Notamacropus eugenii: one gene and its partners. The main gene of each other region encodes a partner of the protein of the gene in region 3 in a complex. Links are inferred from orthologs where the notes say so. Each region holds a gene or a part of one and is shown on either strand. Other genes may lie near its edges. The genes, in order: MAP3K5, ARHGEF6, PAK1 and DCP1A.

Region 1 (7,146 bases), on a different chromosome or scaffold from region 3:
AATGATGATACAGTCAAGTGAACACCTAGAAAAGCAGCATGACATAGATAAAATGTTGGACCTGGAATCAGAAAGGCCAGAGTTCCTATCCTGCCTTGGACTCTCAGTAGTGGTTCCCTGATTTCTAGCGGCAACTACTAGAGGTAGCTAGAGGGGACTGTGGATCTAGTGCTGGCCAGGGAATCAGAAAGACCTGCACTTGAATCCAGCCTCATTTACTAGTTGAATTTCTGTCTGCTTTAGTTTTCTCAAGTGTAAAAGGACGATCATAATACCATGAGATAACATTTGTAAATTGTTTAGCACAGTGCTTTTAACATAGTGAGTATTTAATAAATCCTTTCTTCTTCCTTTTTTTCTTTCTTATGTCTTTCCTTTCTCCTTTCTTTTTCTTTTCTTTCCTTCCTTTCTCCCTTCCTTCCACCCTTTTTCCTTCCTTCCTCACTCCTCTTCTTCCTCAATCCCTCCCTCTTTCCCATCTTTGTCCCCTTCCATCCTCTTTTTTCCTTCCTCCCTCCCTTTTTTTCTTTTCTTTCATTCCTTCCCCCCTTTTCTTCCTCCCTTTTTTCCTTCCTCCCTCTCTTCTGGATTTTTTTCCTTCTTCTATTTTAAACTACAGTTGTACTGTAGTCAGTTTTTAAGTTGCTTGTTTGAATGCTTATTTACCAATATTTATTGTAGTACATTACCCATTATGTGTAGTGAGGCTGGAAGATATGTAGATTTTTACATCCCTAAAATATTATAGACTAGTAGTTTGCTCAGAGAATACTATACTAGGTTATACTTGTCCATAATTTTTTCATTTTACCTTTAAGCCGGTTTAGAATACTTCCTTTATTGTGGCACGAGGCTATCAGATTTTAGGAATTATGACTGAAGGTTCATAGTAGAAGGTTCATAGCTCTTTAGTAAAAAAGGGATCAAAACCCCCCTCTCATCCAGGGCCAGTGCTGTTCTATCACTTGGTACCCAACTGAACAAAGAGTAGAGGGACCCCTTGGGGCCTCTAGAACCCCAGGCCCAACTTAGAGTCAGTAAACTACATAAGCATGGAACCAGACCAGTCATCCCACTCCATTTTAAGTTACAGACAAGGTGTTATGCCCCCTCCCATACCTGTGTCATGTAATAAAACTTTTATTGAACCAATAAATCAGAGGTCTGAACTAGGTGTGGACAAGGAAGACCTTGTCATTTTTTGTGGATCAAACAATCAATGAAAGGCTTTAGAATAGGTATGAAAAGTCCTCGATCAACTTAGAAGTGCTTGAAATTCATTGTATGAAATGGAATGTATGAAAAGGAAGTATATTTAGATTGATTGAAGAGACTTGGTTATGCCCTGTGGGTTTTCTATAGAATAAACCAGATTTGGAACTCAAGCACTGGGACATCTGTCTGCTTAATGGTTAAAGTTCAGCTAACCACAACCCTGGGAAGCTCTTTAGGTTTAGTCTCAGACTCTTCCCTCCCACCTTTTCTGGTTGAAGGAGAATCTTGGGGGCTTAGAAGGATCCAGAGGATTTGGAACTTCCCATGAGCATCCTCGCAGAGTCCTTGCTACAGCTAGCTACAGTCTACATCAGAAGCCACAAATTAGATGTAGGGAAGAAATGATGTTTCTAGACTATAAAGAGGCAGAGCAGTTAGGTGGTACAGTGAATAAAGCGTTAGCCCTAGAGTCAGGAGGACCTAAGTTCAAATCTTGCCTCAGACACCTGACACTTATTAGCTGCTCAAACCTGGGCAAGTCACTTAACTGGATTGTCTTATGCAAAGACTACCAGGAGTCCAGGAGAAAGCTGTTATCACTCCATGCCTAATGGGATGGAAACTTCATGAGCACTCCTGGAGAAGTGATGGGGGAAATGAGGACTTTCCCCAGTAACTCTGAGTCATCTCTCTCTCTCTCTTTATTCCAGACCTGGCACACTGAAACACTTAGCTGCCCAGTACTCCCTTCTAAAAGTCTAAAATGGGTGGCTCAATGGATACAGAGCTGTTCCTAGAGTCAGAATGACTGGCCTCAGATACTTACTAGCTATGTGATCCTGGGCAAGTCACTTTTGTGTGCCTCAGTTTCCTGATTTTTCAAATGAGCTGGAGAAGGAAATGGTGAACCACCCCAGTATCTTTACTAAGAAAACCCCAAATGGGGTCACTGAAGAGTCAGATACAACTGAAAAACAACAGAACAAACCGATAGTTATAGGAGAAATTACAAAGGTGGAGGCTTGTGAGCTGTTGCTTTAGAAAGACAGACCCCTACCCTTCACTGCCTAGATTTAGCAAAGGAACTTATCAATTAGTATAAACTTCCCCAATTTTACTAATGAAATTGAGAGAGAAGCAACTTAATCAAGGTCACAAAGATAGAAGCAGAGATGGTATTTGAACCCAGAACCTCTGACTTCAGATTCTGTGACAAACTGGACCATGGGTGAGGAACAAGGTTAAGTGACCCTCCAATGCCTTTCCCATGGTCAATGGATACATTCTATATGTTCTATGTGGGGATTAGCTGTGCTACTAGGTCAAACTCCTGGATAATTTACAGCATAATAGGTATTCCCTCCCCTCTTTAGAGCTAGAGTGTCAACAGGCACATGTTAAGTCTTAACTTGAATGAAGACGTTATTCCATATCTTAGGATTCCTTGGGGAACTGGGGATCTTCAGACCAAGGGGTACCTAGCCTTTATGTAAAAATTAGAGGAGAGGCAGCACAACAATTGAATGTATGAGCTGGAAAGGACTTTAGAATTCATCTAATCCAAGAGGTTTTAACCAAAAGTCTTAAATCACACACACACGCATTAATAATTTTAATGTAATTGATTTCCTTGTATGCTTTTTATTTTATTTATCTAAAAAACATTCTGAGAAGGGGAAGGGATCCACCTAGAGGCAGCTAGAGCTCTGAGCCTGAAGTCAGAAAGAACTGAGTTCAAATCCAGATTTAACGACTTACTAGTTGTTCAAACCTGGCCAAATGCCTCAGTTTCCTCAACTGTAAGATGGGGATAATAATAGCATTTATTTTGCAGGGCTGTTGTGAGGATCATTTGTAAAGCACTTGTAACAGTGTCGGACACATAGTAGGCTCTTAATAAATGTTTATTCCCTCCCCCCCCCCCCCCCCATCCTCGCATCGGTATTTCAAAAATGAGTAGGAAAGACCCCAGGACCACCTCAGATCTTTCACAAGCTAGTCCCGGAGTCCAAGCTCAGATGTGTTACGCACAAACCTCGGGGCCAGACAAGGCTTTCCGCCGCCTCGGAGCTCAGCTCCCTTTGAAATCAGGGCCATGGTTGCGCAAGCCACGAGTTCTCAGGCCAGGCAGTCACAGCTTAAACAGGAGAGCAGAGCTAAACAGAAACCAGAGGAGGGCGCCATGGCCGCGGGGACCGTCTCATCAGACACCAACCGCAGCAAAAAACGACTTTAGCAATGGCAAGAGAGACTTTTTGTACGAGCCCCCCGCAGTTTGAAGTAACTGAGGGCTCGCGTAAAAAGCCTCTTCTGAGGTAGGTAGCTGAATGGTGAAAACCAGAGGCAACAGACAACCTCTAGCTGAGCACCAGTCCTGTAGACTGACCTAGGGAGCGTTGATGACCGGTAGCACCGTCGCTTTCACCTCGGTTTAGGGCTTCCCAGCAGCGCCCGCCCCCGGGGGTTGGCCCCAGACTCTCCGGGCTCCAGCAAAGGGGCGGGAAGAAGGCAGTTAGCAGAGGGGACAAGCGGCTGGAAGAAATCGCACGCCTCCAGCCCCGCGGGCCGGCGCTTAGACGAGGCGGCCGCCACGATCGGAAGAGAAAAGAGGGAAGGGGAGGAGAAGGAAGCTGCAGTTGACTGGGGAGGCGGATCCTCTCGGCTGCGGCTTCTGGTGTGCGTGTACAACGCTCGGCAATCCCCTTCGGTAAGGTGCCAGCCAGGTGACTCTCCCGAAGGGAGAGGAAACCCCCGTGGTCCCCAGAGAGCGCGCCGCGGAGAGGAGAGCGCACGCCGCGAGAGCAGCTGGCGTTGCGTTATGGTGTCAGTGGCGCACGGAGTCTCCGGAGCTTAGAGCCTCTTGGCAGCCCCGTGGCACAGGTCTGCTAAGAGCCCGGCCAGCCCTAGACAGGGAGGAAGCGCTTTTTTTCCTTCTCGTCCAACAGCTTATTCCTACCCCTTCTATTCCGAGCCTTGCATCGAGCTAGAAACACCGCCACGGAGGCGCCCAGGAGGGGAGAAGCGCCGCCGGGTAGCGGCGTCCCTCCGGGAGACAGAGCGCCGGAGAAGAGGCGGCGCCGCGGTGGAGGCGGCGGCGGTGGCGGCGGTGAGGGCTCAGCTCGAGATGGCAGCTGCCTAGCCCGGCGGGCGCGGAGCAGCCCCGAGCTGTGGCTGGCGAGACGGGGCGGCTGGGGGGTGGACCCCACCGCGGCCGCCGGAGAGCCCCTGGAAGAGATGATCGCGGAGGATAGCGAGGGCATCACTTTCCCCGTGCCCCCGTTCAGCCCCCCGGGCTTCTGCACCTTCCAGGAGGGCGGCAGCGGCCGAAGAGGAGGAGCAGCAGCGCCTGCAGCTGCTGCTTCAGGAGAGGGGAGTCAGCTCCCACCACCGCCACCGCCACCCGGCAGCTTCTGGAATGTGGAGAGCAGCGGCACCTCGGCCGCCTGTCCAGGGGGGATCTCGATCGCTGCGGTGGCGAGTGGGCCCCCGAGCGCCCCCCGAAGTCGGGGCAACTCGACTGGCGCTGGCGGCGGCAACCGTAGAACCACCGTGGCATATGTGATTAACGAAGCGAGCCAGGGGCAGCTGGTGGTGGCGGAGAGCGAGGCCCTGCAGTGTCTGCGGGAGGCGTGCGAGGCGGTGGGCGCTGCACTGGAGACCCTGCATTTTGGCAAACTGGACTTCGGGGAAACCGCGGTGTTGGATCGCTTCTACAATGCAGGTGGGCGAGATGGGAGCCTTCCTGCGGCTCTTCTTCCTCCTTCTATGGGTGCTCTTTCCTCCTCTCCCTTCCCCCACTTTATTTTTTTCTTTGCTTGAGCAGCTCCCCTCTTCTGGTCTGTATCCCTGTACCGAGAGAGTGCCTAGTAGGGTGTTAACATATTGAGTGTGGCAGCACTTGAGAAGGAACGTTTCTCCTTTCCCTGGGAATGTGAAAGAGGGAGTCCTCTTTTCCTCTCCTCCCAGGAACTCTAGGATCCTGAAGTTGTGCTGAGCTTAAGCCCTATACCAATCTTTCTTCTCCCTGGGATTCATATTTAGTCTTTTCCACTCACCTCTGTCCCCATCTTTGGTGTTGATCTCACCATTTCTAAGGGTGCGTGTTTGGTACTTTCAGTTGACGGTCCCTCCTCTCACCTCCCTTTTTCTTCACTAGATTTTTAGGTGTCTCATTTAGGTTTAGAGTATGAGATAGAGAACAGGCTTCAGAGACAGTACCAACCTGGCTACATGCACTTTGTCTTAAGACTGATTTTTCCTCCCAGTCTTATTTTACCTTAAGTTTTGATGACTATAATTCAGACACCCCACTTACTTGCATTTTCTAAGTTTGTTCTCTAGGGCAGTAATGACATTGTAACAAACACTCAAGTTCTCTATTGTCTTTGTTACATTGTTGGAGGGAAAGAACCCAGTGTTTTGCCAAACTGTGTGTGCTGTATCCTGGGACATTTATCAATTTACACATTGTTTAAAACGTTAATGACTTTCTTGAGAGCCCACATGAGATCAAGTTGAACTATAGGTAATTAAAGCAGTTGCTCCCATAATCCCTTCCAAAAATAATTTTATTGTACTGTTCTAACACCTGCTACAGTAGTTTGAGAGGTGGGGAATTTGTTTAGCAACTGAAGCAGTTTGCCCTCTCTTGACAGATAAGCTGAAACATTCAGAATATTTTCAGGAATGTACGTATGAAATTAACCTCCTGTGGCCCTTTGAACATCAGTACACTGTTGAGCATGTCAAACCATATGTTTGCATTAATGTAACTGGGTTAAAATCTGATTGAAGCAATTTCAGTGCAGTAAGCATCGAGTGTATGTGCTTACATAAAAGGCTTTAGATTCTGGACTTGTTTTCAGGCCTGTCTTTCCATTCAGGCTCTTCAAAACACCTGAAGGGTGGTTATGTCAGTGTTGGAATTCAGCCATGGCTGATGTCTCAGTAGTTCAAAAATAAGGAAAAGAACTTCATGTTAGGAAAGACAGACTAAATAAAAGTAGGTCTTTCTGGTTCTGGTATTTGCTAGAGTGCTGGCCTGCATAACTGAACATACATGTCATGCATTATTGCTAGCTATCTGAATTATGTAAACCTTAAAAAAAAAGTAACTTTTATTTGGAGCACAAAATTTGGAAAATAGTAAAGAAGTAACCAAAAATAGTGCAAATCAAGGAAAGACTTTCTTTGCTATATTTAGTCTTATTGCAGTATTAGGTGGATTTTTAAAAAGTTCCTACTTTATACTCTCTGGAAGCTTAACTCCTAAGTTAATTGGAAACACGGTCTTAATAAGATTATTTTTACTGCTTATATTCTACCAAATACTGATTGATGGTTATAGTTGCCAAACACAAAGAAACTGCACCCATTAGCGTTGTAGACCTATTATTCCCATGTGGAATCTAACAGTGTTTCTCTGGGAAATTGTTCTCATAGTTTCAACTTGGGATTTTAGGAATGTATTATAAATGGCTAAGTTAAAGCTAGAAGGGGACCTTTGCTTAGTTGTCTCCTCATTTGACAGATGAGGAAACTGAGGCTCAGAGAGGCTAAAGTGTTTTACCCAGTGTTGCACAGGTGGTAAATGGTAGAATTGAAAACAATAAATAATCCCCTCTGATGCTTTAAAAAAAAAAATCATCTGTCTTGAATTTGAAAGTTGAATCTGCAGAGTTAAACAGGTCCAGCAAAGGCGATATAATGGCTATGAATTAAACTGCAGTGATTATTAATATAATGCTAATTATAACTTTGAAGTAGTTTATGAAAGTGCAAATATGCATTGTATTACTCTTAAAGAATGGCTGTATTTGAACAAATGTATTGGGAACTTCATGTTTTGGAAAATTGGAGAAAAAATTGATGGGTTTCCTTTTACTTGCTTATACAAATATATTCTTTGAATATAGGGTCTGATTTTTAAAA
Region 2 (6,983 bases), on a different chromosome or scaffold from region 3:
AACAAGTTGTGGTATATGAATGTAATGGAATACTATTGTGCTCTAAGAAATGATGAACAGGAAGACTGTTCTGATGCTGATGTGAAAGGAGTAGAACCAGGAGAACTTTGTACACAGCAACAACCACAGTGTGTGAGGAATTTGTCTGGTAGACTTAGTACTTCACAGCAATGCAAGGACCTAAAAAATTCCCAATGGACTTTTGAGGCAAAATGTCTTCCACATCCAGAGAAAGAACTATGGAAATGGCTCACAGAATGAAGCATTTTCTTTTGTATTATGTTTTGTTTTCATGGTTTCTCCCATTCATTTTAATTCTTCTATTCAACATGACTAAGGTGAAATGTATTTAATAGGAATGTATGTGTAGAACCTATATAACATGACATGCTGTCTTGGAGAGGGAGGGAGGGGGGAAGGAGGAGGAGGGAGGGGAAAAAAATCTAAGATACATGGAAGTGATTATAGAACACTGAAAACAAATAAAATAATTTTTAAAACTCTCCCAGTTTACTTTCAAGTACCAGTATGCTACACGAGAAAAGCCATGAGTTTGGAGTCAGAACATTTGAGTCTGCATTCTGACTCAGTCATTTACCAGATGGTGACCATAGATAAGTCACTCAACCTTTATGAGACTATATTCTCCCATCTACAAACTATAAATGATAATAGTAATGGGTCAACTAGGTGGCACTACAGTGGATAGAGTGCCAGGCCTGGAGTCAGAAGTCTCTTCTTCCTGAGTTCAAATCCAGCCTCAGACACTTTCTAGCTGGGTGACCCTGGGCAAGTTACTTCATGCTGTTTGCCTCAATTTCCTCATCTGCAAAATGAGCTGCAGAAGGAAATGGCAATGCCCTCTAACATCTCTGCCAAGAAAATCTCAAAAGGGGTCATAAAGAATTGGACATGACTGAGGAACAAGAAACATCAACCTCCCAGGGCTTTTCTTTTTTTTAAATTGAGGATGTTCTATAAACCACTGTTGTATAAATAGTGTAAAGCACTATTGTGACTTGTGTCAATGCTAGTGTTGATTCTCTCAGTTACATGGGCCTTGGTTCACTGCTTCCTTAAAATTGATGAATAATGTGACATGATATGTCTGCCAAGAATATTTCAAAGTGGTGAGCGAGGATACCTGCTTCCTCCTCTTCGTTCTGCCAGTTTTTTGTTGTGGGACTGAGCTGTGCTTGCCTGAGCTTTAGTTGAACCATCTGAATGATTTTAGGGTTGGTTGCAGAGTTTCTAGAATTTTAAAATAATACTAGTCCTGATAGTGTTGTAAAGATCTGCCGAGATACCATATGCAAAAACTCTTTGTAAGCGCGAGATTGGCCCAGAGAGGCAAATAGTTATTTTACAGGGGATGATCATTTGTCAAGGACAAAGTTATGCATATAGATTTTACATGACATCACATGTGTAACTGATATCATTGCTTGCTTTTAATATGTGGGACAGGAGCTGGAAGGAAGAAGATAAGGTGGAATTCAACATTTAAAAAAATGAATGTTAAAATCAAGTATTCTTTTTAAAATTATTATTAAATAATTTTATTTGTTTTCAGTATTCTACAGTCACTTCCATATATCTTAGACTTTTTTCCCCTCTCTCCCCCTCCTTCTCCCTTCCCTCCCCATTCCCTCCCTGAGATGGTGTACAATCTTATATAGGTTCTACACATACATTGCTGTTAAATACATAAAATCAAGTATTCTTTAAAAACCTATATACAAAGCATTGATCTTATGAAGGATTTCAAAACCATATAGATAATTAAAATTTATTCTTCAGAGCAGTAATTTTAAAGGAAAATACTGCTATGATATAGTATAAAGGGAGATGTATTGACTTTGGAGTCAACAGCTTGCGGTTTGAATCTTAGCAGTCTTATTTCCAATCTGTGTGACCTTGGGTAAGTCCCTTCACTTCACTGGGCCTCAGTCTCCTCCCCTCAAAAATGAAGGGGTTGGATTGTGCCATAGGGGGTCTCCTCAGTGTAGGTTTGTTGTGCTAATTTTCTGGGGATCTCTTCCTAAGGGTGGTAGACAACGAGCATATTACAGCAAGGCCTATTATGTACGCCAGGAATTGGACCAAGCTCTGGGTTATAAACGAAGGACAAACCAATCTCTGTCCTCAAGGAGCTTCCATTCCACTAGGGGAGAGGACATTAACTAGCTAACTCCATATAAGATAAAGACAGAGTTGAAGGAAGGTAATTTGGAGTGGAAAGCTCTTGGGTCATTGAGGACTGGGAAAGGCCAATCACACAGAGAGAAGGGGGGCTGTAAGCAGAGTCTTGAAGGAAGCCAGGGAAATTAAGAGGGGGGAGGCCAAATGAGAGCATTCTAGGCCATTCCAGACATGGGGGCCAGCCAGTGCAAAGGGAGGGAGGCTTGAGATGGAGGGTTCTGTTAGAGGAAACAGAAGGTCTAACACTAATCCAGTGTAGCTGGATCCAGTGTGTGCCAGGGAGCAGAGTACAAAAAGACTCACAGGTAGGAAGGGGCCAGAGTGTGAAGGGTTTAACTGCCAAATAAAGAACTTGTATTTGCTCCTGGAAGTAATAGGGAGCCACCGGTGTGGGTCATGGTCAGAAATAGTCAGATCCGAGTTTTAGGAAGGTCCCTGTGGCAGCTGAGTGGGCCATGGATTAGAGACTATGTAGGAGGCTCTGGTCGTCTAGGTATCATGGACCCAACCTGAGTGCTGCTGATGGCATGAGCAGAGAGAATATTTAGTTTCCCATCTTCTTCTGATGACAACAACAATTACTGAGCAGTCACTTCTAGCTTTTGCAAAGAACAATGCTATGGTATTCGTTTCCCACCTATGAGGGAGTGACAGTTTGGAGAGAGTCTACCACGTTGCCAATCTCATCCAATCCAATGCAGTCCAATAGACATTTATTAAATACCACCGAGGATCATGGGCTTTGAGCTAGAAGGAACTTTAGAGATCACTGAGTCCAAGCCCTCCCCACTCCCATCAGATCTTCTTCAGAAGAGAGGACAGTGATGCACAGAAGCGTCAAGTGACTTCCCCGAGGCCACATAGCTGGTAAACGTCTGAGGCAAGATTTGAACCGAGAGCTTCTGAAGGCCCCGTTCAGCTCTGACTCCTCTAATCTAAATAAGAGCAACAGCTTTCATTTGACTAGTGTTTTTAGGTTTGCAAAGTTCTTTTCTCCCAACCAGCCCGTGAGGTAGAGTTGGAAGATCCCCAATTTCCCAGTGTGTGGTGTGCACTCCTGGCAAATGCTATTTTGTTTTCCAATTCTTCCTGTTTTTGTCATTATTTTCTTCAATCCCCCGATCCCTTCTTTCCCCGCCACCCCCAGACACACTTATTTTTAAAGCAACATGTTCTGGCCCATGTTACTGTGTCCAAGCCTTTGGCATGGGTTTTGCAGCTGGATTGTGCAGTGGGCATCAGGTCCGGAAAGAAATACGAAAGGAGGTAAGTAAACAGGGTGGCAGATGTTCTCCTTCTATTTCGCTCTTTGTCATGAAAGAAAATGCCATCCTCCCCGCTTCTGTGCCAGCCTTTAGACTTCTGGGTCCTCCTCCCCAGACCTCTTAAAGAGTATCCCAAGAAGTCGTGGCACCCAGCATCTTTGGGTGAGAACTTGTGGCTGGACAGCCATTCCTGGGATACATTTCCTGCTTCTCCCTTCTTGGAGCCCCACTGCCATTTCCACTGATTCCCCGAGAAAGCCTGGATCTGATCTGTTGGACATCCAAGCCAGTTGGCACCCACTTCCTGACAGAAGCCAGATTTTGTTCACTGAGGCTAGACTATTGACAGCTTGTCCCCAGGCTGGCCCACTCACTTTCTCATTTGCAAGGTTCCCTGCAAGGCTGGCTCACCTCTTTTTTCCAAGTGTCCCTACTTCCTTCTGTCCCCTCCCTCCCCAGCATCCTCTTCACTTCCTTCCCTTACAGCCCTGGCTCCTTCAAGTGTCTGTCAGTAGGAGCTTGTTTTTCAGTTGGGGGGTGGGGTGATGTGTATTGAAAAATACAATCATGCTTGTCCCTGGTTCTTCCCCTTGCTCTTTCTAGCTTTGCATAACTGAGTGTGGTCTCTGTGGTTAGAAGATCCCACCTTTGGAGTGGAGGTCCCACTGTGGCCAGAGAAGAGTTATCTCCACTGTTTGCACAGCAAGTGCCCGAAGAGAGAGCCCGGAAAAAAGGAAGACAGCACCCGATGCAATCGCGGATGTGGGTAAGACCTTGCAGCTGCTTCGGGTGCACAGTCCTCGGCAATGAATCCCGAGGAACGCATCGTGACATGGCTCATCTCTCTGGGAGTTTTAAATTCCCCCAAGAAGACCATCTGTGATCCGGAGGAATTCTTGAAGGTGTCTCTGAAAAATGGGGTAGTGCTATGCAAACTGCTAAATCGGCTTCTTCCTGGAGCTGTGGAAAAGGTAACTGAAATGGCCATGGTCTGCTTCCTTGGCCTACTTGGCTGCTTCCTCACCCAGGGCCCACTGCCTCCTGCTTCTAGGTCTGGGCCCCGGCTTTCCCCCAGACCTGAAGTGCCCTCCCTGCTCACTTCAGCCTCTTAGAATCTCTAGCTCTTCCTTCAAGGCTCAGCTCACCTGCCTTCTCCTCTAGGAAGCCTTTCTTTATCCCTTTAGTTGGTCTTCTTCCTCATTAGGTGGTGTATTTGCCTATCTGTTTATGTGTTGATCCCCCCAGTGGAATACAAGCTTCTTGTGGGTAAGGACTGTTTCTTATTTTTGTCTGCCTCTCCGTAGCACATAGCACAGTGCTTGGCACATCAAAGTAGATGTTTAACCAATATTTCTTGGCTTCAGACTGCCTAGCCCACATAACCTGTGAGTCAAATACTTTGTGTCTTTCCACTAGCTAGCAATGATTCCTCATCATTCATGTCTGAGAGGGATGGGATATGGTTCATGGACCCCTGGTAACTACCTCAGTACGGCCATTCTAGCATTGAGACAAGGGCAACATCCACCAGAAAAGTATTTCTTGTTAGAGTGAGTGAGATGTCAACTGACCTCCCCATGAACTAAGGACACAATTTAATCAGAATCTATGAAATTGTAAGATGTTTAAATCTAGGGCTGATGGCATAGCTGAAATGAATGTATTTCTTTAAAAGTTTACTTTTAGCAACAAGGAGAACCAAGCTAGGATGCGTGACTTCCGATAACAACTGAAACTAAATGGGTATTTGAAATGGAACACATAATTCCAGGAAGATTAAAATGTAGGCATTCCCCCCCACCCCATCCTCCTTTTTAGATTAGCACAGTTAAATTTTTGATGCTTCCCCTGAGGCTAGATCTTTACTCCAAAGGTAAAGGCAGTTTTCTAAAGGAGAACTCCAGTATTTAGGGAGTGTGCCCAAATAAACTGAGAACTGGGGAATAGAGGTGGGAGCCAAGTATGACTTGGACTTGAGTTTCTACAGCCAGATTGTAACAACTTTCTAGGCTAGAAAAATGATATATTAAAATACCGTGCAGGATGCATTTGGACCTGGTACTTGTTGGGTCAAATGTCCAAGTGGGGTGCAATGGAAAGATTTCTATTTGGGACCAGAGGTCCTGGTTTCAAATCTCAGCTTGGTTGCTTATTAGCTGTGAGACACTGGGAAAGTCATTTAATTTCCCTGGGCCTCAGTTTACCCACTGTAAAAGGAGGGGGTTGGCTTGGATGACTTCTGAGGTCCTTTCCTTTTTAGATCTGTGATCCACTGTGTTTTTGCCTTGGGCAAGAACTTTTACCTTAATGGGCCTCAATTTCCTCCTCTATCAAATGAAGGAGTTCTACTACTGAAGGACTTTAAGGTCCCTTCCAGCGGTAGAGCTAGGATCCTACCTGTGATCTTGGACCAGTCTTTCCCCTCCCCTCATTTCCTCCTCTGTCAAATGAGAGGGGCTGAACTAGATGCCCCTGAGGTCCCATGAACCCTAAATCTCTGATACTATGAAGGTTCCTATGAAATGGTAGAAAGCAGCAAGGTGGAAAATGTGCTTTTCATATATTTGAAAACAGTAACACAGTTTAAAAAATCCAGACACATCCTAATATCTTGGGATGGGGACAGAGAATGAAGAAATGTATATAGTCCAAATAATTTTGGACTCAGAGTTGGGAGACCCTTCAGTGGGCCTTTAGCCTGGGGCTCTGTTCTGAAACTGATATTTGAAACAAAAGGCCGTTTAGATTTTTACATCATTTCCTTCAATGGTTACTTCTCTTCCTGGTTTGAAAGCAGCCTTCCCCTTTGCCTTCAAAAAAAAAAAAACCCCAAAAGCAAACCAAAACCAAAAACCTACCTAGTTCTCATAAAACATGAAGCATGCTGGGCCTGCTTGGGAAACCCAACTCACAGAGGTTCTCTTGATCATTTCTTTAGTACCATCAGGAGCCCCAAACGGAAGCTGACTGCATCAGTAACATTAAGGACTTCCTCAAAGGATGTGCAGGTCTTCAGGTAGAGGTAAGTCAGTTGGCCCTGGCAACCTCAGTATCAGCATCATTAGTGCTTTTGGTTTTGTTTTGGGCTTTGTCATGCCAATAAAGAGGGGATTTGGTATTGGAGTAGAGGAAATCTCACTTGTTTGCTTTTCCCAATAGCCATTGCAAGGTTGAAGATTAGGCCCTTTTTTATTCACCCCACAGGAGAAATTGATGGTCACTTTGGTGGGAGGCTGTCTTTCTCAAAAATTCCTGGAAAAGACAACAGCAGAAGCAAGATGATTGTCTTTCACAGTCCAGCATGAAAGTTTTAAGAGTAAACTCAGATGGAACTGATGTGCTCTATGGCTGCTTTTCTCAGTCTCGAGGAACATTAATGGTTTAGACCATGATGTCCAACTCAGACAGAAACTGAGGATCATTAATCTGCACATAAGGATTCCTGTGGCCTTCACACTGACCTAGTTTTAAAATGTAATATTATCTTTGTTTTACTGTACTTTTATTTCATTTGTT
Region 3 (7,294 bases):
GAGGCCTGACTTGGGAATCTGGAAGCTTGGTTTTTGGTACAATACAACACACATTAAGTGAGTACCTGTTATATGCAAGGAAGGCAGCTGGAGTCTAGTCCTTAGTGAATGGGAAACTGGCTTTTGGAGTCAGGAAGATCTGATCAGTGATCTAGGCAATTCTGTAAGCCTTCAGAGCTGTGTGAATGGTCAAGGGAGTATCTGCTTCTGGGGGGCTCTATATAGCAATAAAATTACAGGTCCAGTTCTTATCTGAGCTACATGCAAGGCCCTGTGCTAGGTATTGGGGAAATAAAGATGTGTGGGACATAGGTCTTGTTTGCAATCTGATATAGCTATGATAAGAATTAGGAATTCAAAAAGGACCCACATGGACAAAAATATTTATAGCAGCTCTTTTTGTGGTGGCAAAGAATCAGAAATTCAGGGGATGCCCATCAATTGGAGAAAGGCTGAACAAGATGTGGTATATGAATGTAATGGAGTACTATTGTGCTATAAGAAATGATGAGTAGGTGGACTTCAGAAAATCCTGGGAAGACTTATGTGAACTGATGCTGAGTGAAGTGAGCAGAACCAGGAGGACATTGTACAAAGTAACGGTTACACTGTGTGACGACCAGCTTTGACAGACTTAACCCTTCTTAGCAATGTAAGGATCTAAGACAACTCCAAAAGACACAGGAGAGAAAATGTTACCCACATCCAGAGAAAGAACTAGGGAGTCTGAATGCAGATTGAAGCATAATATTTGCTCTCTTTTTTTTGTTTCTTCTTTCTTGTGGCTCCTCCCATTGGTTCTAATTCTTCTTTACAACATGATTAATGTGAAAATATGAAATGTATAAGTAGAGCCTATATCATATGGCATGCCATCTTGTGGTGGGAGGAAGGGAAAGAAATTTAGAACTCAAAATCTTATGGAAGTGAATATTGAAAACTAAAAATAAATAAATAAACAAATAAGCAAATAAATATTTTTTAAAAAGAATTTTAAAAAATTAGAAATTCACTAATGCTGAGGGTTTATAGGGCAGCTGGGTGGTGCATGGGGCCTGGAAGGGGTCAGGACCACTTGATTCAAATCCTGGCCTCAGACACACTTACTAGCTGTGTGACCCTGGGCAAGTCACTTAACCCTTATTTACCTCACTTTCCTCATCTGTAAAATAGCTGGAGAAGGAAATGATAAAGCACTCCAGCATCTTTTCCAGGAAAACCCCAAACAGAGTCATGAAGAGTGGGACACAACTGAAATGACTGAACAAGTGCCAAGGGGGGTTTTCAATCCCTTCGTGAGCCTGTGGATGATGCTACAGGTGAATGAGATTTTTAGAAATATCATCAAGTACTGGGGCTCCAAACACTAATGCCTGGAGAAGCTATTCTAGCTCTTTCAGTTCTTACTTAGCCTGGATGCTCCCCACTGGCAATTTCTCATTTGGTCTCCATACCCAGAACACATGAGAAGCTGGAGGTGTCCCTGACAGGTGACCACCTCGGTAAGTAACTTGGAGCATTCTTGCCTCCCTGAGCCTCAGTGTCCCCATCTCTAATATGGGACAACAACCTTGATCTTGAAGTCAAAAGATCTGAGTTCAAGTGGAGTCCTGACACTGACAATTGCTAGTTATGCGATCTTGAGTCAATCAGTTTCCCTGCTGAACCTCAATTCCTCAGGAATTGGACTAGGTCAATGATTCCCAATCTTTTTAACTTTGAGAAATTTAATGGAAATCCCTCCAACATGATAATAATTGTAACTTTGATTCATCGAATCAGAAAATATACAATACACAAAGAGCTACAATGAATTCAATGACATGTTTCAGTGAATTTGTATTTTATTAATCACAACAGTATCTACATATGTTTGAGAGATGGCAATAGATACAAGTGTGAGTCATTGTTTGTTCAATCTAAAGAAGGTCTGCTTGTTTATTAATTATCCTTATCAAACTTGCAGAGGAAACAAAGCTAGTGGGCAATATAATAGTTAATAAAAATCAGGTGGTGCAGTGGGTAGAGCACTGGGCCTCAAGACAGGAAGTTCTGAGTTCAAATTCAGCTACAAATACTAGACTAGGGCAAGTCTCTTAATCTCTACCAGCCTCAGTTTTCTCATCTGTGAAAGGGGGAATGATAATAATGGTGTTAATCAGAATTAGGTAGATGTTCTTTTGCCCTTTTCAGAGATTTGAAATTTGGTTGAATTGAAGAATGCTTCAGTCCTAGGTCTGGTTCCACCTTCAGTGGACCCCTTTGCAATTACCCTGTGGTTTCCAAGGTTCTGTAGCCAGGACTTGGGGAAACAAGTGGCCCTTTCAGCTCTCAGTTCTGTAATTTGTAGAACAGGGGAATACTTACACTATCTTCCTCACAAGATAATTGAGGAAAACAGTTTATAAATCTGAAATCCTACAGAAACATTCCTACGTTGATGATGATGATGATGGTATATGTGTGAGTATGGGTAGAAAACTTCCAGCATAGATATTCTCTCCATGCAGATGAGCAATTCGGGGTGCCCGATACTTCCACTCTCTCAGGGGAAGTAATACTAACATAATACATATTTATTTGTTTTCTGATTCTTCATGACCCAGTTCAGGTCTTGGCAAAGATACTGGAGTAGTGTTGCCTTCTCCAGCTATTTTACAGATGAGGAACTGAGGCAAAAAAAGGTTAAGTGACTTGCTTAGGGTTACACGGCTAATAAGTTTCTGAGGGGAGATTTGAAGTCAAGTCTGTAGGCCCAGGGGCTCTTTCCACTGTACCGCCTAGCTGCCCAATAATAGCATAATGAAATATGTATTTCTCTTCTTGATCTAAAGGAAGGCTAGCAGAATCTTGGGTGATCTCCCTGAGAAATCATAGAAGGCCACAGACAAGAGTTAGACAGGACCAGAAGACATGGATGCCTTGCCACTTGTACCTTTGGAGGGAGTACCCCACCACAGATTCGTGGTGTGCTGGGACATCTTTAATAACTGGCTCTGTCCAAAAGATGCACAGGACTCACTTTTAAGCTTAATTTGCATTATTCGCATTTTCTCCATCACTTTTAAAAGTTTCAACAACTGAAAAATAAATCAACACCTGATTTCTAGCATTTGCCATTTTTCACTCTGAAAATTTAACAATCAGCTTTACCTCCAGCTTGTGCCAGCATGGAGGTCTTTCTCCATATCAGCTCTGCATTGATATCCCGCCCGCACTGTACCCTGATGGCCTTAGGCCCTCTTGCTCCACCTTCCTTTACCATATAAAGAGAGCCAAACACACAATGGCTGAGACCCATGTGAAATCTTGTCATACTTAGCTCGTTAAATACAAAATCTGCCATTAGTTAATTAACTCAATAAACTTTTATTAAGCACCTACTATGCGCCAGACACTGTGCTAAGTGCTGGGGATATAAAGAGGCAAAAGACAGTTTCTGCCCCCAAGGAATTTACAGTCTAATGAGGGGGACAACATGCAAACAAATATATAGGAAGCAAGCGACACACAGAATAAACAGGAAATATTTACGAGAAGGAAAGCACTGCTATTAGGAGGGGTTAGGGAAAGATACAACAAACACTATTATTACTGTATTTTGCCACTAATAAGCAATTCCCATTTCTACAGGCTTTAAGGTTTACAAAAATCTGTCGAGGTGGTGAGTGGACGCATTATCAGTCCCATTTTGTAGGTGAGGAAACTGCAGCACAGAGAGAAATGACTTGCCCAAGGTCACAGAGTCAGACAGAGTGGGCTTGTTTGCTCTCTCCTGCCTCCAAGGCCGGTCCTCTTTCCATTACATACACTTTAGGGGCTCTTCCACTGTCCGAAGAAGCACAGATCTGAGGGTGGGTGGCATCCACAGAGAGGAGCCCACAGGTCCCCAGGGTCCACCAGAGGAAGAGGTCAGGTTTGCAGAAGAGAGGCAGGGAGAGGGAGGGATGCCTGGGCAGTGACGTCACGTGCCAGCCGGGAGATTCCCCTGTCTCTTGCGTCACCCTCACATTACGTCACCCCAAGCAAGCCCTCTCCCTTCCCCCTACTCCCTGTGGGCTTCGCTCACGTGTGTCTGTCCAGTTTCCCTCCTCCCCTCGGCCCCTCCTCCTCCTTGACTTAGTCCACTTACTTCAGGGGAGAAATTGGGGGAAGGGAGGCTCAGTCCTGACGCCCGCAGCCTCCAATGGGAGAGGCTGGGAGTTCTGGGGACGGGAGGCGGCGGCCGGTGGAGATGGAAGGAGGGGTGTGAGAGGGAGGGGAGGGGAGGGGAGAGGAGGAGGAGGAGGAGGAGGAGGAGGAGAAGGACTGGGCTCTGGAGCAGCTGACAATAGAGACGGCTAGAGAGAGGAGGAGGGGGAGGACGGGCAGCGAAAGAGGCGGCAGAAGGTAGGGGCTGCATTGTGGACTCACCCCCTCTCCCTCCCTCCCGCCTGGGACCCCGTGGGGAGAAGGCAGCCGAGAAAGGCGGGCGGGGGAGAAGAAGGGGCCGTCCGGGCAGCTGGGGAGAGAGAGCGAGAAGCGGCGGAGGGGCGGGCAAGAGGGAGAGAGAGAAGGTGGGAGGGAGAGAGAGGAGGAGAGGAGAGAGGGAGTGTAGGGGAAGCCAGGGGGAAGAAGGGAGGCAGAGAGACCGAGAGCGAGGGAGCGATCGAGGCAGAGAGGGAGGGATCCAGGGAGCGAGGGAGCGATCGAGGCAGAGAGGGAGCGATCCAGGCAGAGAGGGAGCGATCCAGGGAGCGAGGGAGCGGTCACGCAGAGAGGAGGAAAGGACAGAAGCCGGGCTTGCTGCGGGAGCGGCCCCAGCAGCTGGAGGAGCGAGTCTGAGAAGGTGAGTCCCGCGGCAGCGATGGGCGTGCTCGGCTCGGGGGTTCAGCTTTGTGCCGGCCGCCACTTGAAGCCCAGGGTGGATTCGGGTGGGTGCGGGGAGCCGACGTCCTGGGCACGGGGTGTGTGTGGGGACTGTCCTGCCCCTTTCCTTGGAGGAGGACCCCCACTCTGCTCCGGGCTGCTCTCCCTTTCCCCGCCGTCCTCACCCGCAGCTCGGCAGCTCGGTGACTGGCGGGGGTGGGGGAGTCTTCTCCATCTCCGGACAAGTTCCCCCCAGGCTGAGGATGGGACCGGAGCTGGGGGAGGGGCGCCAGGTGAGTTGGCTGCGGACTAGACGGTGGGGATGGGGTGGTGGAGTGAAGCGGAGTTCGGACTGAAGGTAGAAAGTTTGGAGCATGGGCGGGTCGGGGGCAGGCTCGGCGGGGCAGCCACCCTTAACCCAGGTTCCCGGATCGGCTGCCCTGGGCTGGCCCAACAAAGACCGTCTGGCCCCTTGGGGTCCTTGCCCGGCGGCTAGCTCCGGCTGGGACGGAGTGTGGAGCCTGCGGGGGAGGGGCAGCAAAGCCCCGTGGGGGGCTGGGTCTGCCCTGGGGGTTGGGGAGCATCTTTTTGCTGGCTGCAGGGAGGGGGTGGGGGCGGGGAGTCGGGCGCAGGTACAGGTTTGGCGACTTCCTCCAACTTTGCTTTTCTTGAGTGACAGACTCTGCGATTCTGCGAGGTTTAATCCAATACGTTTGGACTCCCCTGAGTATTATCCATCAGTCAGTCAGCGAACAGTTACTAAATCCTTACTTTGTGCCAGGTGCTGTGCTAAGCGCTGAGGACAGAAAAAGAAGCAAAAGACAGCTGCTGCCCTCAGGGAACTCACAGTTTGATGGGGGAGACAAGAAGCAAATAAATGTGAACAAACAAGCGATAAGTAGGAAATCATCAGAAGAGAGGGGGGACTGGAATTAAGAGGGGCTGGCCAAGGTTTCCTGCAGAGGATGGGATTTTAGTTTGGACTGAAAAGAAGCCAGGAGAGCCCAGGGAAGCATGCTTTTTGCCGAAGTAACCCGGCTCAGGTAGGCCCAGGAGTCATCTCCTGGGGTAAGAGCGGAAAGGGGCCCCAGAACTAGCCTCCTCCCTTCACCGAGGTGGAAACTGTGGCCCATGGAGGTTCTAAGAAAGAAAGCACTGCTACCAAGTGGCTTAACTGGAATTAGAATCCAGACCCTCAGAGGCCAAACTCCACATCTTTTTGAGGGCTCCTCTTTGTCTTACAAAACCTAATCTAGTTTTTGCTTCAGTAAATATTTATTAAGTACTATATACGAAGTCCTGTATCAAGCCTTAGGATTCCCAGGGAGGGAAAACGTTCACTTTTCTGTCATCCCTTAAAATTGACTAAGAGCTTTCCTCACAAAAACCCTGTGATATGGAAACTAAGTTGTATTATCTCCATTTTACAGTTGAAGAAACTGAGGTGCAAACAGGTAAAAGTTATTTGTCTAGGGACTGGAATCCAGGTCTTCTGACCAGTGCCCTTTTCACTGTGCCTTGCAGATCCTAGAAGTGACAGGGTCCTTACCCTCAAGGAGAGGCAGCTTGGAGTCGGGGGATGTGGTGCTGAAGTTGGAGTCAGGAAGACCTGGATTCAGATCTACCTTCCTGTCTGTGTGATTATGAAGAAGTCATCTCACCTCTTTGAGCCTCATTTTTCTCATCTGTAAAATGGGACAATTTTAACCTGTCAAACCTACTTTACAGGGGATCAAGTGAAATAATGTAGGTGAAGGGCTTCAATTAAAATGTTATACAAATGGCAGTTATAAAATCTCATCTGCTAGGGGAGATACACCATGCATAGAATAATTCAAGCTATAAAGAAAGGACAAATCAGTCCACAAGTGAGCACCTACTATGTGCCAGGCACTGTGAATACAAAGACAAAAGCCATCCCTCCCCCCAAAGCAAAGGCCTTGCCTTCAAGGAGCTTAAATTTCTGCCAGGAGAAACAACCTGTATGTTTAAGTATACACACGTATATGTGTATGTATGTATGTATGTGTATATGTATACATATGTGTGTATATACATGTGTGTATATATGTGTATGTATATATACATACACATATATATGCATACACATAAACTATAAAGTTAGGAGAGGAAGAAGGCACTAAGAGCCTTTGGCAAGTATTTGCCAGGTGTTTAGTGATTCCAGGATGGGTGAGTAGGCAGAACACTCCAGGAATGGGGGAGAGCAGGTGCAAAGGCAGGAGATGGGATGTCATGAATAGGCCGTAACTGGCAAGCACCAGGAAAGGTGGGTTGGAGTCAGATTGTGAAGGACTCTAAATGCTAAACAGAGCATTTTTTTCTGGAAGCAATAGAGAGCACCTGGAAGTTTAAGTAGGGAAGTGCCTGGGGTCAGATCTGTGCTTTAAGAATACCATTTTGGCATCTGTGCAGAAGATGAGTTGGA
Region 4 (7,188 bases), on a different chromosome or scaffold from region 3:
CCAAGGTCACATAGATAATTAAGGAAGAAAATATGGTTTCCTAACAATGCATCAGGATAAGATAATGCACATAAAGGACATTAAAATTCTATATAAGTGGGAGAGGTGGCACTGCAGCATTGCACCATGGGATTGGAAAAGAGGTAGCTTCTCCATTGTAGTAGACAAAATGTTGGACTTGGAGTCAGGAAGACCTGGGTTTGATTGCTGCTTCTGATAAAATATGATTTCTATCACCCCAGTCAACTCAACCTCTCCTTGGTTCAATGAATTCCCTCTGACTTGTCACACTCTAAGTTTCAAATGTCCCTGGATTCCTAAGGTCATATTTTGTTTTGGGGGAACCTTTAGGTTTCAGCATGAATCAAGATCAGTATTTGCTACTCAAGTATTCCCAGTGTGGACAAGGACCTTCATGTTCACAATTTTCAATGCTGTTAGACAGGTCTAGGGGCAGATCTCCACCCATTCTCCTTTGAAGCCATTTCCTACTGAAAATGTAAATAATGCTATTAATAAGTTGTGTTCTTCACTCTTCCAGATCTGCTGATGTTGCTTAACCAGGCAGAAAATAAAGAGACCACTTTAATTATTTCAGAAGACTGTGTGGGAGAAAAACTAAATTTAGTCAAAGAGAAAGAGGCCCGTGTATCCCACAGGTGCATGTAAAGTGATTGACTTAGTTTTACCAAGAAAGAGTAGGGTAGGAAGAAGAGTCATTTCGAGTTGGCAGGTGATAATTGTTTAATTCTTCTGTTGAATATTCATGTTGAGTATTTCTTGGAGAACTTTCCCTAATGGCATCACAAAATAACCCCTAAGACTCTAGTTTTTCAGGAGGAAGCAAGTAGATCAAAACCCTGAAAACAGGATGACCCTAGGGGGATCAACCCCCCCAGAGAAGATCAGTTTGTCTGCAGCTAAGCCAGTCAGGTGGATATCTCTAGCTCTGAATACCTGTGCCTGACACACAGCAAGCCCCGAACAGGCGAAAGTGGTTCCTGCTTGGATCCTTGTTGAGGTGGAATGCCTCAGTCCCAGCCTTTAACCTGCCCCAACTCATCCATCAGAAAAATTGCAAATGCCACCTTTGGTAGGAGGCAACTTAATGGTGCTTTGGGTAGAGAGCTGGCCCTGCAGTTAGGAAGAACAAGTCTGGGTTCAAATCTGACCTCAGAGCCTTACTGGCTGTGTGACCCTGGGCAAGATATTTATCTCAGTTTCCTCATCTGTAAAATAGGGATCATAATAATAGCACCTGCTTTCCAGGGTTATTGTGAGGATAAAATGATATAACTATTTAGCTTGCATGCTCTCTCTCTCTCTTTCTCTCTTTCCCTTCCTCCCCTCCCACCCCCCATTAGCTATTATTGTTTCCAAGTCCTCCTCCCTCCACACACAATGCTAGCAGTTTCTTTCTAAGATTACCTTCTAATTATTCTTTGTATAACTATGATTTGTACACAGTAACTTGCATTTTCTTTCCATCATTAGACTGTGAGCTCTTTGAGGGTAGAAACCATGCTGTGGCCTTTCTTTGTATCCCTAGTGCTTAGCACAATGCCTGCTGAGAACATAACTTTTTGTTCATCCTTCATTTTCCAAGAGGACCAATGACATTACAGAGTAGCGTCTTGATTCATGGGTGAATTGGATTTAAGTGAGGCAGAGCTGCCCAAAGTTGTCAGCCTCACTCTCTTCCTGAGTCATCAAAGTCCAATGACAAGACAAAAGTCAGGATGACTGGCATGGCCTAGGATGCAGTGGGTGACCTTGGCATCTTCATTTCTGAACAACCTCTAAGCATTCCACAGTGCCTGCTTCAGCCACCTTCATGGCCACTGGAACAAATTGTTTTCATCTGCCCATTCTGGCAGGGGAAGTCTTCACATGCTTGGGGTGGACACTGCCCTAACTCATCAGTGGGTTTGAGGCCCCCTCCGTCACTCTCAACCTGGTTCACCCTGCCAAGGTGGTTTTACTGTGCTGTGGCCACTGCACATGCTACAGCTTCTTGGAGCCACAGGTGAAGCATGTAATAAAGGCTTGTTCACTGCTAAGGATCCGAACGAATTTCCATGAAGAGAGAGGGTCAACACTGTCATTGTAACACCCAAGTCCTTATCTGGATTACAACTCTGGTGTAAAGAAGCAGGTGGCCCCAAACACAGATCAGAGAATAAGGGCCTTGAACCTTTTCCCAGGGATATCTTAGGGCCCAGAGGGTTTAAGGCTTGGTTTGGAGAGGCAAGAAGTATGTAAGACTTTCTCAGGGGTCATATAACAGGAAGAGCATTGGAGGAGGTCAGAAAACTTGGCCTGAACAGCTGAGATTCTTTCTATATTGGGCTGGCACACAGGAAGTGTTTCATAAAAGATTATCCCCTCCCTCCCTAGCCAGTAAGACAAGGGCCCTGAAGGACTCACCCAGTCCAGCTAAGGCTTTATCAAAGAGCAGCCTGATGAGACCATCACCACCCAGTTCTTCAATATCATTATGTTTCTCATTTGAAGTTCTCCGACTCTATGGAACGCTTATAAGGCAGGGGGTCACCTTGGTGAGTTCAACTGACAAGTCATGGCCGGCTGCAGTTGTACTGGTCCTGCTTCTAGGCATATCAAGGAAATCCTTTTCTCTGTAAGATCCATTTAGCTTCCAAATAATAAAGAGCAGGATATAACACTTTGCTCCAAAGACCAGAGTAGGATCTAGCTGTTGACAAGTGTCCTCAGTCCCTGCTTTTTGGCCTCTTTTTCTTCCCCCTACTCAATAAACCCCAGTGGCTCCCTATTACCTACAGGACCAAACAGAAAAACCTCAGGCATTCAATCCCTAGCCCCCTGCCCCGCTTCACCTCACCACACAGACACACAGACACAGACACACACACACCCCCAGCCTCTCTGCTGTTCCTAACACAAGATGCTCCTGCCCCCTGCCTCCCAAAGGCCACGTGGAATCCTGGCCCCAGGATTTGCCAGCCACGTCATCGTGGCCAGGTCACGCGTTTCCCGAGGCCTCTGCTTCTCCCTCTGTAAGGCGAGGGGTCGGACTGGGAGTGCCCCCCGCTGGGCTGTCTCCCCCACCTGCGGAGGAGCGAGCCGAGGGGATGAGGGGCAGCCGCTCCGGTTTCGTCCAGGCCTGTCCCCAGCCGGGCTACCACCGGCCCTGGCGGGGGCCGGGCCAGGAAGGCCAGCCTGCGAGTCAGGCACGTTCGGCCTCAGTTTCCTCCTCTGTAAAAAGGGGGAGTAACCACACTGGAACCCCGGACCTGGGGCCAAGGAGGGTGAGGGGTGGGGGAGGTGGGGGGGTCTGGGACCCCACCCACTATCCGCACGGATGACGTCACGCATGGCCGGGACTGCCCGTCTGTAGAACCCTCCTCGTTGCCCCGCCCGGCCCAGGGCAGTAACACGGGGGTCAGCCCCCTCCCGGGGGAGAGGAGGACACCGAGGGCCCCACGGGGGACCCACGGGGGACCCACAGAGGACCCCGGCTGGGGGAGGGGCTGAGGGGCTGCGAATGAACGACAATGACCACGTCCTATGGGCGGCGCCCCCCGGGCACGACTTCCGCCCGCTGGGGGTTTCCCCGCAGGGCTGGTCGCTTTCTTCTCCAGCTCATTTGACAGATGGGGAAACTGAGGCAGAAAGGGTGCAAGGCCTTGCCCGGGGCCACCCGGCTAGGAAGCGTCAGAGGATGGATTTGAACTCAGGCCCTGCTGACTGCGGGCCAGCGCTCCCCGTGCCATGGCGCCCCCTCGCGGCCGTCGTGCTCAGCCTCCCGCGCCGCAGCGGCCACGGTCTCATTCCTCATGATTACGTCATTATCATGAAGCTCAGGTTCCATCCCAAGGTTCCCAGCAAGGAGCCAGCCCCGCCCCCGAGGAGCTCGCTCGCCCAAGGCGGCGCCCACCCAGGTAGACTTGGGCCCCAACGGACATGCGCCAGGGGCGCCCCCGGTGACGTATGCTCGGGCGACCGGCTCGTGCTCGCCGCGCGCGCTGGTCACGCAGGATCCGGCGCCGGAGGGCGGGACAGGAAGAGGCTGGGCCTCCTCCTGGGAGGGGTCGGGAGCTGCCCGCACTCTGCGTCGGCGTCAGCGGCGTCAGAGACGGCCAACGCGCCTGCGTGATCCGTGACGTCAGCGCCGCGGCCCCGGAGGTTTGAATGGGAGGCCCCGCCCGCTAGTTTCCGGTGCCGGGCCGCTGACTGGGGGGGGCGGCCAAGATGGAGGCGGGGAGTCGAGCCGGGGCCGAGATGAGCCTGGCGGCGCTGCGGCGCCACGACCCCTACATCACCAGCATCGCCGACCTCACGGGCCAGGTCGCGCTCTACACCTTCAGCCCCGAGGCCAACCAGTGGGTGAGTGTCGCCCTCGGGCCCGCCGCCGCGGCCGCTGCGCCCATTCCGCGGCCGGGGAGACTGAGGCCCGGGCCGGCCGCCGGGCTGGGCCGCGACTCGCTGAGCCAGGCCCTGCCCGCCCCAGGCCTAGGGCGAAGGTCCTGCCCCCTGCCCGGGCCTCCGTGCCCTCCCCTGTCAGAAGACAGCGCAGACAGCCCCCGGCGCACACAGTAGGCGCCACCAAGAACAAGCGCGTATGAAGCGCCCACTGTATGCCAGGCGCTGGAGCTATCAAGAGAAGCAAACAACTGTATACAGGCCCGCCATGGGGGGGCTAGGGCCACAGGACCTGGGTTCAGATCCTGCCTTAACCAAAGCCGACTTCGGTGACCCAGGACAAGTCACCGCATGGGAGCACAGGTCTAGCGCCTTCCTCTCCCTGTGCCTCAGTTTCCCCATCTCTAAAATGAGGAGATCCCTCTACATTCATCTCCTGTAAGGAAGTGCTGCCCTGGGTTGGGATGGACGCCTAGATAGAGCAGTTTGAGGGGCTGCCCCTCCCCCACTGTATGGGGGAGTTTGGGGGGCCGGTTATGGGCGACGGGGCACGGCCGAAGTCTGAAGTCCGAAGCCCAGGACCCTTTGGGGGTCTCCTTCCTGAGCTGCCTAAGGGACGCTCTTTGAATGGCTTTGGTTTGTTGAGTTTGTTGAATGATTGAGTTGTTGGCTGGCAGCGTGCGGACATACTCCTGTCCTGCGGCACAGCCGCTAGTGACCCCCCTGCTCACATCTGCCCCAGCTTTGGGGACCCCAGAGTCGTGAGGTTGGCATGCGGCTACTTCATCCCTCCAGGAATGTCATCCCACTTATTAGGGTGCCTCCCTGGGCAGGTATCTGACCCCCCGGGCCTCAGTTTCCCTATAAAGGAAGGCCTTTAAGGCCTCTTCCAGATCTGGATGTAGCCCCAGGGTCCCACCTGTTTGTCATTTGGTGAAGAATCTGTGATTTCCTGCCCTTCTGACACTTAGGTTGGCCAAGTCTTTGTAGGCTTCTCAGACTGACTCACCCATGCTTTTGGAGGAAGGGTCTGAGGCTGGATTCGAACCCTGGTTTGACTCCCACTCCAATGCTCTCTCCTCATTTTATAAGAAAGGAAAATGCTTCCTCTCAGTGTCAGCATGAGGTTCCCCGCCTAGTAAACGATAAAACTCAGGCTGATTAGGTTGGAAGCTCCTTGAGGCCAGGACTGTTGCCTCTTTTTATATCCCCACTCTGTAACACAGTGCCTGGCACATAGTAGGCTTTAATGAATGTTGACTGATTGATCCGGAGCTCAAGTCCTCGGGGCCTGCCCTAGACTTCACAAACAAGGATGCTGACTCATCAAAGGGCATCCAGTCTGGGAAGACTCATAGTTTCCAAGGTCCTTTTGGCCCAAAGTGGCCCAGAAGACATGGGGGCAAGGGAGTAGGGCATGAAGGAGTATGGAGCCACATCCCAGAATAATTTCTGAACACTGCGGGGATTTTAGATGAACAAGCCAGTGTTTCCCCCTGATGTTCTCCCTAAAGGCCAGGGCCACTCCTTTGTTCTGAGCCCAGGCTCCAGAGAACCCAATGGGGAACCATCTGCCCAGTTTGATCCCTAGGCATTTTATTTTACCAGGATTTAAGAGAAAATCAGTTTAAGTGAAAAAATTAAAAGATAATAAAAATATTTTTAAAATGTGTTTTCTGTTCTTCCTGGGTGGTTTTTAAAGGTTCAAACCAGCCCTTCAAACTTATGTGACTTTTTGCTCAGCTGATTGTATCAGTAATGTTACAGACCTCCTAATGATCTAACAAAGTGTTGGAAGCCTGTATAATGTATCCCAAGATAAAACACTGTTGCAGGAATCTTAGCTGGACACTTTGTTTTACTAAATGGCTTTTAAACCCTCCTTCCACCTGGTTGTATCTCCTTTATTTCTTCAAGGTATACAGTATTCCTCTTCTGTGCTATAAGGACTGGGGACCCATTGGTGGTGGCCAGGATTGCAGTATGTAGCCATGTTGCTTCCTTTCATAGTTATAGTATCTCTAAACTTGATGTGAATAAGTAAGAGTCAAAGCTTGGTTACCAAGTGAAGGTTCTTGTGGTTCTCTGAGGCTGGCTAGTTCCATCCTCACTTTTATTTCAGCAGAGCCTGGCTGGGGTATTTACGATTCCAGGTGCTTTTGGGAACTGGTCCTCCCTGGCTTGGTTTCGTTCATTAGTTTCAGTCATGTCTGACTCTCTCTGACCCCATTTGGGGTTTTCTTGGCAGTCATTTCCTTTCCAGCTTATTTTACAGTTGAGGAACTGAGGCAAACAAGGTTAAGTCACACAGCCAGATTTGAGCTCAGAAAGATGAGTTTTCCTGACTGTATGTTGGGAGACATCGAATGATGAGAACACTTCCCAAAGGGTAGAGGGGCAGCTTGGTACCAGTGAAGGGTGATGAAGGCCAAGTGGTGTTAGAGACCCCAAAAGGACGAGCTGGTTGTGTAGGAGAGTATGGAGAGTCTCAGGGAGGCCATGGGTGATGGGGGAAGGGGAGCACTGGGATAGAAGGAGCATGCTCCTACTGGGGAAAACTGAAGGAGATGCTTCCTGCTGTTCTGAAAGAGTTGATCTCATGGGGTTTTTCTTGTCTCAGCTTAAAAGTTTTAAAGACTTCTGGCTTAAAGAAGGAAAATGAAAAAAGGCTAAGTCTCTAAACAAATCATTAAAATTCCATTCACATGTGTTGTATACCTGTAAGAAATCAAGGAGGTCACCTCAAAATTCAACGGCTTCTCTTCATACAAAATATGCATAAGGACT

The links.
Region 1: PAK1 (region 3) and MAP3K5 share a complex: the UniProt entries of both Homo sapiens proteins name them as parts of the cytoplasmic complex. The link is inferred for Notamacropus eugenii from reciprocal best matches to the Homo sapiens genes PAK1 and MAP3K5.
Region 2: PAK1 (region 3) and ARHGEF6 share a complex: the UniProt entries of both Homo sapiens proteins name them as parts of the cytoplasmic complex. The link is inferred for Notamacropus eugenii from reciprocal best matches to the Homo sapiens genes PAK1 and ARHGEF6.
Region 4: PAK1 (region 3) and DCP1A share a complex: the UniProt entries of both Homo sapiens proteins name them as parts of the cytoplasmic complex. The link is inferred for Notamacropus eugenii from reciprocal best matches to the Homo sapiens genes PAK1 and DCP1A.

The regions. Positions count from the first base shown.
Region 1 is NC_092873.1:223,165,770-223,172,915, reverse strand, and holds the start of MAP3K5 (mitogen-activated protein kinase kinase kinase 5), read left to right. Parts: upstream 1-4,124; 5' UTR 4,125-4,449; coding exon 4,450-4,936; intron 4,937-7,146. UniProt on the Homo sapiens protein: Serine/threonine kinase which acts as an essential component of the MAP kinase signal transduction pathway. Plays an important role in the cascades of cellular responses evoked by changes in the environment.
Region 2 is NC_092879.1:58,084,605-58,091,587, reverse strand, and holds the start of ARHGEF6 (rho guanine nucleotide exchange factor 6), read left to right. Parts: upstream 1-3,970; 5' UTR 3,971-4,273; coding exon 4,274-4,438; intron 4,439-6,405; coding exon 6,406-6,489; intron 6,490-6,983. UniProt on the Homo sapiens protein: Acts as a RAC1 guanine nucleotide exchange factor (GEF).
Region 3 is NC_092876.1:125,967,411-125,974,704, forward strand, and holds the start of PAK1 (serine/threonine-protein kinase PAK 1), read left to right. Parts: upstream 1-4,275; 5' UTR 4,276-4,389; exon of another isoform or gene 4,390-4,828; intron 4,829-7,294. UniProt on the Homo sapiens protein: Protein kinase involved in intracellular signaling pathways downstream of integrins and receptor-type kinases that plays an important role in cytoskeleton dynamics, in cell adhesion, migration, proliferation, apoptosis, mitosis, and in vesicle-mediated transport processes.
Region 4 is NC_092874.1:478,412,347-478,419,534, forward strand, and holds the start of DCP1A (mRNA-decapping enzyme 1A), read left to right. Parts: upstream 1-4,175; 5' UTR 4,176-4,230; coding exon 4,231-4,365; intron 4,366-7,188. UniProt on the Homo sapiens protein: Necessary for the degradation of mRNAs, both in normal mRNA turnover and in nonsense-mediated mRNA decay. Removes the 7-methyl guanine cap structure from mRNA molecules, yielding a 5'-phosphorylated mRNA fragment and 7m-GDP.